3 separate regions of the Mus musculus genome follow, and regions 2 and 3 are each reported to be linked to region 1. Evidence: microRNA targets listed by miRTarBase, many of them from high-throughput screens and not tested one by one. Region 1 holds a microRNA gene; each other region holds the end of a gene's coding sequence.
The links. The annotated mature microRNA mmu-miR-683 reads CCUGCUGUAAGCUGUGUCCUC and lies in region 1 at 2,074-2,094, shown strand. An mRNA with a match to its seed (bases 2 to 7 or 8) in the 3' UTR can be bound and repressed. Matches are read on the target gene's strand: a 7mer-m8 pairs with bases 2 to 8, a 7mer-A1 pairs with bases 2 to 7 and ends in A, and an 8mer does both.

Region 2: the mRNA of Dmbx1 is a reported target of mmu-miR-683. Seed matches in the 3' UTR shown: 7mer-A1 at 754-760.
Region 3: the mRNA of Cpox is a reported target of mmu-miR-683. Seed matches in the 3' UTR shown: 8mer at 1,383-1,390.

What each region holds. Positions count from the first base shown.
Region 1 is chr13:50,598,698-50,603,083 of GRCm38, reverse strand. Mir683-2 (microRNA 683-2) reads left to right here and starts at 2,004; the gene lies at 2,004-2,112.
Region 2 is chr4:115,915,280-115,918,279 of GRCm38, reverse strand. Dmbx1 (diencephalon/mesencephalon homeobox 1) reads left to right here. Exons shown (of 5, transcript NM_001025567.1): 5 at 1-3,000. The coding sequence ends at 329. Among named protein-coding and RNA genes, the nearest start is that of Dmbx1, 23 kb to the left of the region's middle.
Region 3 is chr16:58,678,328-58,681,327 of GRCm38, reverse strand. It overlaps Cpox (coproporphyrinogen oxidase), which reads right to left. Exons shown (of 7, transcript NM_007757.2): 7 at 937-2,658. The coding sequence ends at 2,571. Among named protein-coding and RNA genes, the nearest start is that of Cpox, 9.6 kb to the right of the region's middle.

The DNA.
Region 1 (4,386 bases):
GGTGTAGTCCTAAAAAGCCTGAATTGTATAAATTTTAACAGGAGGGCATCACCTACACCACTGTAGTTTAGATGACAATGGTGAAGGACTATCAAAAAACACAGTATGTGTGGTTTAAGAAAGGGGGTAGGTCAGTGGGACCTGGTACTTAGTTGTGTATGTATGGCTCCAGAATTTTCTGCAGCCCGACCTTACACCAAGAACTCATGATGCTGGACAGTATGGAGGGAGTGTTGGGCTGAGGGTGTTTTTTAGCAGGGGTATTGGTGGTGATGGAATCTGACACCCAACAAGGTATCTAATGGGGTAGCATTTTTGTGTACTGTGGTAGGTTATCTCTGTCCTTCCTCACCTTCTAAGGCATCTCTCATTAGCTTTAAGAAAGACCCACAGGCCTATATCTGTACAGAATATGGAAGATGGGTCTTCTGTTCCAAGAGAGGAACTGTGGGAAGAACTGAGAGATGGAAGAGATTCACCAGCCAGACATGCAGGAAATCAGATATACTGAGTATGAGGTTATGGGACACGTGGCAAATGTGAATTAGAATAAAAGGGTTAATGAAGTTATACAAGGTTGTTGTGGGGTAGCAAGATAAGGTTTAGGGACAATAAATAAACGTAAGTCATCATGTTATTATTCAGGAGCTGGTGGGTCAAGACATTCCTGTCATAGTTCTTTGAAGTTGTTCAGGAAATAACAGTGAGTATAGTCTGGGGGTTGGGTTGCCACAGGCCTGATATATAACAGTGCCTGTGGAGTGTCATCAAAGAGGGGGAGGCTATTTAACAAGACCCATTATGTCTCTAGCAGTGCCTGCAGAAAGGGGAGGACAGAGAGCATGGTACCTAGAAGTTTATGTGCTGGAGAGCTGTGTAACAGTACTCAATAGCCAGCTTCTTTGTGGATTGCAGGGGTGCCCAGCTGGCCTTGCTATGATTTCTGTTCATCCACAGTAAATGCCACATGTGCTGCTGTGTAACAGGCTTTCCAGGATGCCCTCCCAGGGGTACTGTTTCATTACACTGGAAGGGTCTGTGCCTTGGAGGCCTATGATCTAAAAGTGGGTATGTGGCTCTGACATGGAGGTGTCTGTCAGAGTTTGTTGAACCACTAGGCTGCTGGCTGCCCCCAGTGATGTGTATAACAGGGCCTGATTTATAGCACATTATGGGGCATGGATGTATAATACAGTGTACACAGCTACATTTGGGCAGGGCATATCAGGGCCAGATTATTTAGTGTGCAGGCAAAGAGCAGTTTTGCCGCTAATGATCTAGAAGTGGGAAAGGGGTTTAGGAGTGGCAGGATGGGGTAGTTAGCTGTTTTCCCTAAATAAGCTGTTCTATACAGATTGGGTCTGTTGTCTCTTTTAGCAACCACCAAATATCCGGGATAGCGTCTGTTGCATTTCTTCTGTAGTCCCCAAATATCAGACTTCCTGGATATGTGAGATCAGTTTAGGGAGTCAGCTTTCTTGGAGGTCCAATTAAGAATTACATATCTTTCTTTTCACTAGGGAGGGAGGAATGAAGCTAGCCTCTCCTTTCCCCTAATATGCAGCGAGACCAGACATAGTGAAAGGGGAGTTTGGGAGTGAGAGCTGGCCTGGCTGAATCATTCTATCATACATGTGACTTGGGAAAAAGCATTCTTGTACTAGGTTGTTGACTAGTGTCTAACAAACTACAGGGAGCCATTGACAAGTGGCGGGTACTTTCCTCGGGAGCATGGCAGGGAGGGGAGCCTGCAGAGAGGTTTTTTAGTTGGGGATGCATGAAGAGCATCCACTAGACACTGCTCTTAGCTGTTCTGGGAAATGTGATGGCACAAATAGCTGTTACAGCAGGCTATGCACTTATCCAAATGCTGATTATTCTTAGCTCCTAGGTAGTGTCAAGGCTACATCTTCAGTTCCCCTGCAAGCCCAATGTTTCCTTAAGTGTCCTGGGAGAAGGAGAGGCATCAACTTGCCTGATCCTCATCTTCATGAGTACAGGCATGGGAAGTCCAGCTGGGAGGCTGCAGTGGACCCAGGCTAAAAGCCAAGCTTTTCTGCACTGCAGTGGATGCCTGCTGTAAGCTGTGTCCTCCTGGGCTGCATGGAGCCCTACTCTAAACCAAACCCTCATGGGCTGCAGTGGAGACCTCGTGCAAGCTGTGCGGCCCTGGGTTTCACAGGTGTCCCTGCTGGATCCTCCTCCACCGTGAACTGAGCCTAGGATAGCCTAAGGAGAGAGTTTGCTCTCCAGTCTCAGAGGGACCAACGTCTGCCAATGAGAACAGGAAGAGCATACATTCATGGGGAGAAGATGTCAGTGGGCAATGTTGTCTTCCCTCCCTCTTCATGGACTTCCCGAATTTATCAGAGTTCCTCCGGAGCCAGGAAGTAGAGCACACCCTGGATTATTACACCTAGACATTTAGTAACATTTTCCTGACCCACCTCTTTTGTAAATACACTTGTGCTCTTATGAACAAAGGTATGGCCTCTGTAAGTTCATTGTCAATGATGTAGACATCTGTCTTCATGAAGTGAAATATGAAGAAGAGACTTGAAGTGTACTCATGAAGGGAGCACTTTGCCTCTGGTCACACTTATCCTCGGGGAGTCCAGTTTGTCCTTTGGATCTGAAATTTATCATAGCTCTGGGGGAACTCCAGCTCTCTGTCCTGGATTGGCCAGGAGCCCAAAGTCAAGTCTTGGTCAAGAACCTGGTCTTCCTAACTTTGCTACATTTATCAAAAATAACCACTTCCAGAACAGGACTCAACCCAGGTCTCATAAATTTCAACTCTCCTGTAGGAGATTCATCTCACTCCTGACTTCATGGTGTACTAATGTGGCTGTGGATTCCAAACCAGCATATAGTGCTGCCAATCCCAGGGGCACAAGAGTTCTGCTTACCATGGCAGCAGGAGGCTCTGCTCTTACATGTTGCAATACTCTGGTATACAACATCCAGGTAGGTCTGCTTCTAGCTCCATCTCTCCTGGTCTAACTGAGGTTCCTGTACAGTCACAAAGAGATTATACGCCACCCGCCCCTCAATTAAAGGGAAAGACAGGAAAACTCAGGTCTCCCACTAATTCCCTCTTTCCAACACAAGACACATTGGAGGCATAATATCTGCTCTGACAGAAGTCACTCTGAAACTGTGATGGTCTGGGGTCCCCATACTCAGAGCACCAGGCTAAGAACCAGGTCTGTTAGAGAGCCTTTCCTTAGAATCCATAGTCTCCAATTTTCCTGGGAAGGAATTCTATATATGCATCTTGCTGAGTTCCTAAAATAAGGGGTACACCTATTGAAAGCAGAGTTGGACTTCATGTTTGACCCCAGGCATATAAGCAGTTATCAGCAAATTCTGGGGACAAAGTGACAGCTGCTGCTGCTTTTGATAGTGTATACAAATTATCTCCACTCTTTGTCCAGACCTAAGTATCATGCAGAAAGTTATGCCAGCCTGAAGGGTGCTCCAGTTGCATCCAAGAACAGGAATGAAATGTATATTGCTCCTTCCTGGTTACTATCATTGTATCTTGGGATCTTTAAATGTATGGTGTGTGTGTGTGTGTGTGTGTGTGTGTGTGTGTGTGTGTGTGTGTGTGTGTATGTGAGTGCAGTGACACTGGTGATAATGATTTCTGGACATATTTGTCCCTTCAAGTGTAGTTTTGTTCTTCCTCCTCCTGTTCTTCATCTCCTTGTCATTATCCTCCTCTTCATACTCCTTTTTCCTTTTTTTCTTCTCCTTCTTTGAGATTTTACTACATCCTTCTGGGCAGAAAGGGGCTACAACAGTTAGAGTGACACTAGCCAAAGATGGCAGTGCGATTTAGATCTGGTGACACAATAAGAATGCAAGTAAGGCAAAACAGGATTAAAAAAAATTAAAAGAAAACTCAGGAAAAAACTTTAGGTATACTGGTGAAAGAGTAGGGTAAGTTTGAAGCAACCTATCAGAAATGATTATTTCTGTGACATCATTTCTCCAGGGAGCACCTGGGTGCCCTCACCTTGAGCATCATGCATGACATACAGTCCACTCAAGTGGCAGAAGAGGTGTTGAGGGGAATCCTAGGGCAGCTGGTCACTCAGATAAGTTGAGGACTTTCCAGGTGCATAGGCAAATAACACTGGTTGACATCATGATTCTCTGCATCCTCTTCAGGCTCCATTGCCACACCCACACCCTTGGAGTGTGCATGATGTGTCCAATAGCTTGGCCGTAGTCCTGAGACACAAAGTTTCACAGAAACTGGACTCCTGGGGAGTCTTTGTCATTCCATAACAGGGATGTGGTCCAGATATGTCCTGGCCATAGTCGGTGATTGGCTTATTGTACTTTCTTTCAGTACTGTTTTATTATAGGTGCCCCCAA
Region 2 (3,000 bases), not on the chromosome of region 1:
CGGCCACCAACAACCTGATGCACTACTCGTCTTTTGAAGTGGGCGGTCCCGCACCTGCGGCGGCTGCAGCTGCGGCGGCTGCCGTGCCCTACCTAGGGGTCAACATGGCCCCATTGAGCTCCCTACACTGCCAGTCCTATTACCAATCCCTGTCAGCAGCTGCTGCTGCCCACCAGGGTGTGTGGGGGTCCCCATTGCTGCCGGCGCCCCCCACAGGCCTGGCACCTGCCTCCGCTGCCCTGAACAGTAAAACCACGAGCATTGAAAACCTTCGCCTCCGGGCCAAGCAGCACGCCGCATCCCTGGGACTCGATACACTCCCCAATTGACTGTCTGGCTTCTAACCCAACCATGGTCTTGGGTGTACCCCTGTCTCGGTCCCATGGTTATTCTCAGAAGGCTCTCCAAGTTCTCCTAGAACTAACTTTGAGAGCCCAGGGATGCTGGGGCCTGGAGTCCTTTCACCTTGTCTCCCTTATTCAAAGTCCCAATCCCAAGTGAAACCCACACACCCTCTGCATGGCCCTGCTTGGACCCCATGGAGGTCAAATGGGGAGGAGGGGAGCAACTGGCTACACCCCCTCTTCAGTATTGCCTCCTCCCTCCTGCTCCCCCCCCCCCCGTTAGTAAGTTGAAGTGTGGAATGTGAGATATAAATATAAATATATAAAACTATATTTTCAGGCACTGCCTGCCCCAGGCCCCCTTTCCCTGTTCTCACATCGCCACTACCCTTGCCCCTGAGATTCACTCCAGCAGATTCTCTCTCTCTCTCTCTCTCTCTCTCTCTCTCTCTCTCTCTCTCATCCTCCTTTTTCTCCTGATCCCCCCTCCCCTGCAGCCCCACTGCCTCTGTCTTGATCCCTGTCCCTCTACCTACCCTTGGCCTTTGGTGCTGGCTTTATTATTGTCCAGTATTCTCAAACAGTGTTTCTTTTGGGGGTTGTAGGTTTTTTTTTTGTTTTTGTTTTTGTTGTTGTTTTTTGTTTTGGTTTTAGTCATTTTGTTTCTTCCTGTTTCTCTTCTGCTCCGCTTGGCTATCTCCTCCCTTAACCTGAACTCTCTCTAGGCAACTCTTCCATTCCATGCCCCAAGATTCATCAAAGTCCTACTTGGAGACCCAGGAGCAACAGGCAGGAGGTAGCTCTAACCCCACAGCATCTCCAGATATTAGGAGGGGCTCACAGTCACCTTTTCTTCTCTTTCTTTGCTTGGAAGTACCCGCTCCCAGATTGCAGAGGGGCAGCCGCAGTAGAACAGAGACCTCATTGCAGGGTTCTAGAATCCCTTCTCAGTGAGTGAACCCTTATGGCTACATACGGTCTCAGGACTTGGCTTCCTGTTGCAGAGGCCGGTGTGGGAGTAGGCGCTTCTGTCTCGTTAGTCACTGGCATGGCAGGGTGTGTTCTTCTATGTCTAGGCAACCCTGCTCTGTGGACGCCCTTTCAAGCTTGCTAGGACTGTCTTGTCTGGATAAGATGATTTAGAAGATTCTGTCCATTTCCAACCACCCAGTGTTCTATGCCACAACCTTGTATGGCAGAGGCTTTAATTAAGTTTAATAATAATAACTGCAGCATAAGCACTTAGAGAAGCCCAGTTTGTAAGTTAGAACATTACTGTTGTTTTGCTGAGGAACAGTGAGTCCTGCATACCTGAAGATCTCTGTGGATACTGCCTCTGTTTCCCAGTAAATGTAAATGGCTCCTTTTTAGGTTAGACAATCTGGATTTGATCCTATTTTTCTTGGATTCCAGTGTGAGCCTTGGGGGGGGGGGCTACTCCATTCCCCTGCCCATGGTGAGGGGTGGGCAAGATTACTTGAATAGATTCGTGGTTATGATTCCGCAACCCTTTGGCTCGCCACAGAACCCTCAACCCCACGCCCACACAGTGGTGGCCTGGCACGACTGGCCTACAGAGCCAATAGTGCTCACCTTAGTAATGTCAGTCTGGACTGGGGTAGGAGAAGGTTTTAGCCAGTAAAAAGTGAGACAGGAAAGCATGAAAGAAAGAAACAGGAGAAGTGAGCCACGGAACACAAGGTGACTGGCCTCGTGAGAGGTGAGGCAGAGAGCCTAGGACGCAGTCTCACATTCCCACTTTCACGCAGCAGCACCAAAGTCAGTTGAGGGTTTCTTAAGAAGGGGTATCTTCCTGGGTTCTAGAATCTGCGAACATCAGAGGAGGAGAGACTTGGACGGGGAGATGAGAGGTTAGCAAATCCTTAGGGAGATGAGGGGGTTCTGGGTTAGGGAGGGATCAGTGATCGATCCATGGTTACCCTATTGTGGTCAGCTTCAAGAAATTATGTTTCTGTATTGTCTCATCTGGAACCAGGCGCAGGGCTGAAACTGTCTTTCTATTCCTGGGTGCAAATGACTGATTGTCACTGGGACTTGGGATCTAACACTTCTGGGTATTACCATTTCCAGAAGCCTTCCCAACCTCCTAAAGAGCAAGGCCACCTGAGGTCATATCTGGTCATGACATGAGCCTGGTCTATCCCAGGCTTTTCTAAACTCTCTTAGATCTTTGTCATGTGTTCTCTCATGTGCTGACCCAAATCCCCAAGGCCAGAGAAGGGAGGGAAGACACACGTGGGTTTTATCTTCATGACCATGTCTTCTTAGGAGGATTAGAGGGCACGATTCTTTGAAGAAATTGTGGGTGAGCCCACCTTCCTGACACTGCTGATGGAATCTCTCTCAGGCCTGCTGGTCACTTAGGGCAGAGAGCCCAAGGATTAAACCCTTACAAGCCCTTCTAGGAAGAGTCCTGTATGTCTCTGCTCTGTTTGAGGTCTCCTTTGCCCTGCTTCCTCATTTCCCTAGAGCATGGTTCAGGGGCCTGGGTCCCCATTTCTATGCAGAGGCTGACTGGCTGTATAGACTGCTTTTCAAACCAGCTGTTTTGTGACCACTTGTGCTTAGAGGTTGTACAAAGCCTTGGCAAAAAACAAAACACCGTGTATTGTATTTATTTATTCTGTTAGTTGAT
Region 3 (3,000 bases), not on the chromosome of region 1:
AGGTCCTGAGTTCAAATCCCAGCAACCACATGGTGGCTCACAACCACCTGTAATGGGATCCAATGCCCTCTTCTGGTGTGCCTGAAGCAACTGTGTGTGTGTGTGTGTGTAGCAAATGAAAAAAAAAAAAAAAAAAAAAGAATGTTCTTCAGGTTTACATCTGTTCCTGGTCTTCCAGACAGAGTTCAGAGTGGATACTGAAGAATCCAAACAAAGGTGGTAGGATTTTAAAACTTCATCTGTGTCTGTGTCTAACACCTACAAGCCTTAAATACAATTAAATCAGCCAGGGATCTTTGTGATCCACCACCACCACCACCACCCCAGTTCTGGGAATAAAATTCAGGACTTCATGCATGCTAGACAGGCTCTGCCATTAAACCATATGCTCAGCTTGACATTTTTAGCTCTTTAAAAGGTATCCAGACAGGGGTATGTGAACATCTGTTCTTATGTCTTTCTTTACTGAAAGGTTACCTACAGATATAAGAAAATTCTCTGATGTTGTAATGCTGAGTTCAAGGGAATTTGATAAATGTACAGAGTATAATCACCTTTGTCACCTCAGCCACAGAACAGGTAACACCTTAGTGCCCCACCTGCAGCCGCTGACTGCTTCCCTGGTGAAGTCTTCACAGGTGACATTGGACAGCAGGCACTTTTCTGACATCTTCCTGATGCCTTGCACACTAGCATTTCTCAGGCAGTACTCCTTTCTGTTGCTGAGTTTTAATGTCTGCATAAGTCACAAACTGTTTATCCATTTACCTGCTAATCTGCACTTGAGTTTTTAATTTTAACTATTTTTAGTAAAATGGCTAAGAAAATAAAATGAAAAAATGGATCTCTCTCTTGGGTAAAATATCTAGTAATAAAGAACTACTACTATACCGAGAAATATTTGTACTAAGTTATCACAATAAAGGAAACAAATACTTTTCTTATGTTATAATAAAATTTATTAGCTGAATCTATGTAAGACATGTTGAAGAATCTGTAGATTTTCTTACCCTAAAAGTGGCAAACACAATCACATACATCCAACATATTCCAGGATAATATTTAAATATTGTTCTTTACAAATTCAATATATTATAAATCAAGTAACATAGCGCAGTCAGACTATTATTTAGACAAGTAAACCACACATTAAGAAATCGGCTGCATATGTAGCAGAAGATGACCTAGTCGGCCATCATTGGGAAGAGAGGCCCCTTGGTCTTGCAAACTTTATATGCCCCAGTACGGGGGAACGCCAGGGCCAAGAAGTGGGAGTGGGTGGGTAGGGGAGTGGGGGGGGGGTATGGGGGACTTTTGGGAAAGCATTTGAAATGTAAATAAAGAAAATACCTAATTTTTAAAAAAAAAGAAAGAAAAAGAAATCTGCTGTGACTTTTAAAAGAAAAGATAAAAGTTGAAGAATCTCTAATTTAAAAAGTAACACAATTTCTATTGGCCCATTTTTTAAATAAAAAATATAAAATGCCCAGGTTAGACTCCATTCTCTTTAATTAAAGAGAAAAAAAATGTGTTTCATTTGTCCTTAGGCTAATCTCCCATATCTAAGTCTCTAAAATATAAAACTTTTAAGTATCAGAATCCAGGGATATAAGCTTTCACTTTCAAAATTACATAGAATCCTAATGTTAGCTAATTATGATCTCACAAAAACCTTACCACTGAAGATATCACTTATTTAAATAATAATAATGCCATCTGCAGTTGTAAACTAGGTCATCATTATATAATACAAAAACTGACTAAAGAAAATTTCCAGAGCTCTTAAATAGCTATCTTTAAAAAAAAAATGAGTATTTTTTTATAATATTCTGGAATATAGAGAAAGATACATGAAAATTACGTCAAAGAAACTTCAAAAGCAACAAAGAAAAACATGTTTCTTCAAATTGCTTTCTTTCTTTCTTCCTTTCTTTCTTTTTTTCGTTTTTTTTTTTGGGGGGGGGGGTTGGTTCTTTTTCAAGACAGGGTTTCTCTGTGTAGCCCTGGCTGGACTAGAACTCCCTTTGTAGAATAGCCTGGCCTCAAAATCACAGAGATCCACCAGCCTCTGCTTCCTGAATACTGAGATTAAAGGCAAACATCACCACGGACTGGCTTCAAATTGCATTCCAAAGTTCCCAAGAAGGGCATCCTGACTGAACTAATGAAGATAAAATGTATTCCCTGATAAACTTCTGTAGCAAAAACTAAAACTTCAAGCAACATATAAAATGAAGAGTTTCCTGGTACCTATCATAGTATTTACATTCCCTTATCTCAAAGACCTGGAAACACAATGTCAAACTGACTGGTCACAGAAAATTATTCTAAAAGTACAAATGGATGTCACAGACAAGGAATCTGACAGTTTGACATCCCCACCCACCTCTGAGCCACCTCCTCCCACAGCACTGGAAAAGATCAAAACCGCCTGCCACAGACGGGGTGCCCAGGGTGAAGAAGGCGGGGACAGTAAGGCACGGAAGACACTGCCTGCCACACAGTGGCCACAGTGCACGAAGACACCACCTGTGTCCACCAGGCCCTGGAGCAAGGCTCTGTCTGATGCATCAGTGCACCCAGTCCTTTGGATGGCGCAACACTTCCAGAATTTCAGCTTCTTTGGAATTCTCTGGGGGAGAATGCATGTACTCCCATCTACGCATGTCCAAAACGAAACAAAAAAAAAAGCAAACAAAATAACAATAAATGACATACATAACTAATGGAGAATAAAACCCTAAGAGTAAAAACAATGCATAGTTCCTCCACCCCACTGTGACTACTGTGTCTCTACTATATATATATAAAAAAATCAGCTACTTAAGAGAGTAAATTTCTTAATAAGTCTTAGGAATATCTGGGTTAATACTAAGATCCTTTCATTACAAACTTGGGTTTCATAAAGTATAGAGCCTTGGGTAGTACACAGGTAGCTTAAGTTTTACACTACAAATGTATCTTTCTAGAAAGAAGGCTGTGAGGAAAGGCCAGACTCAG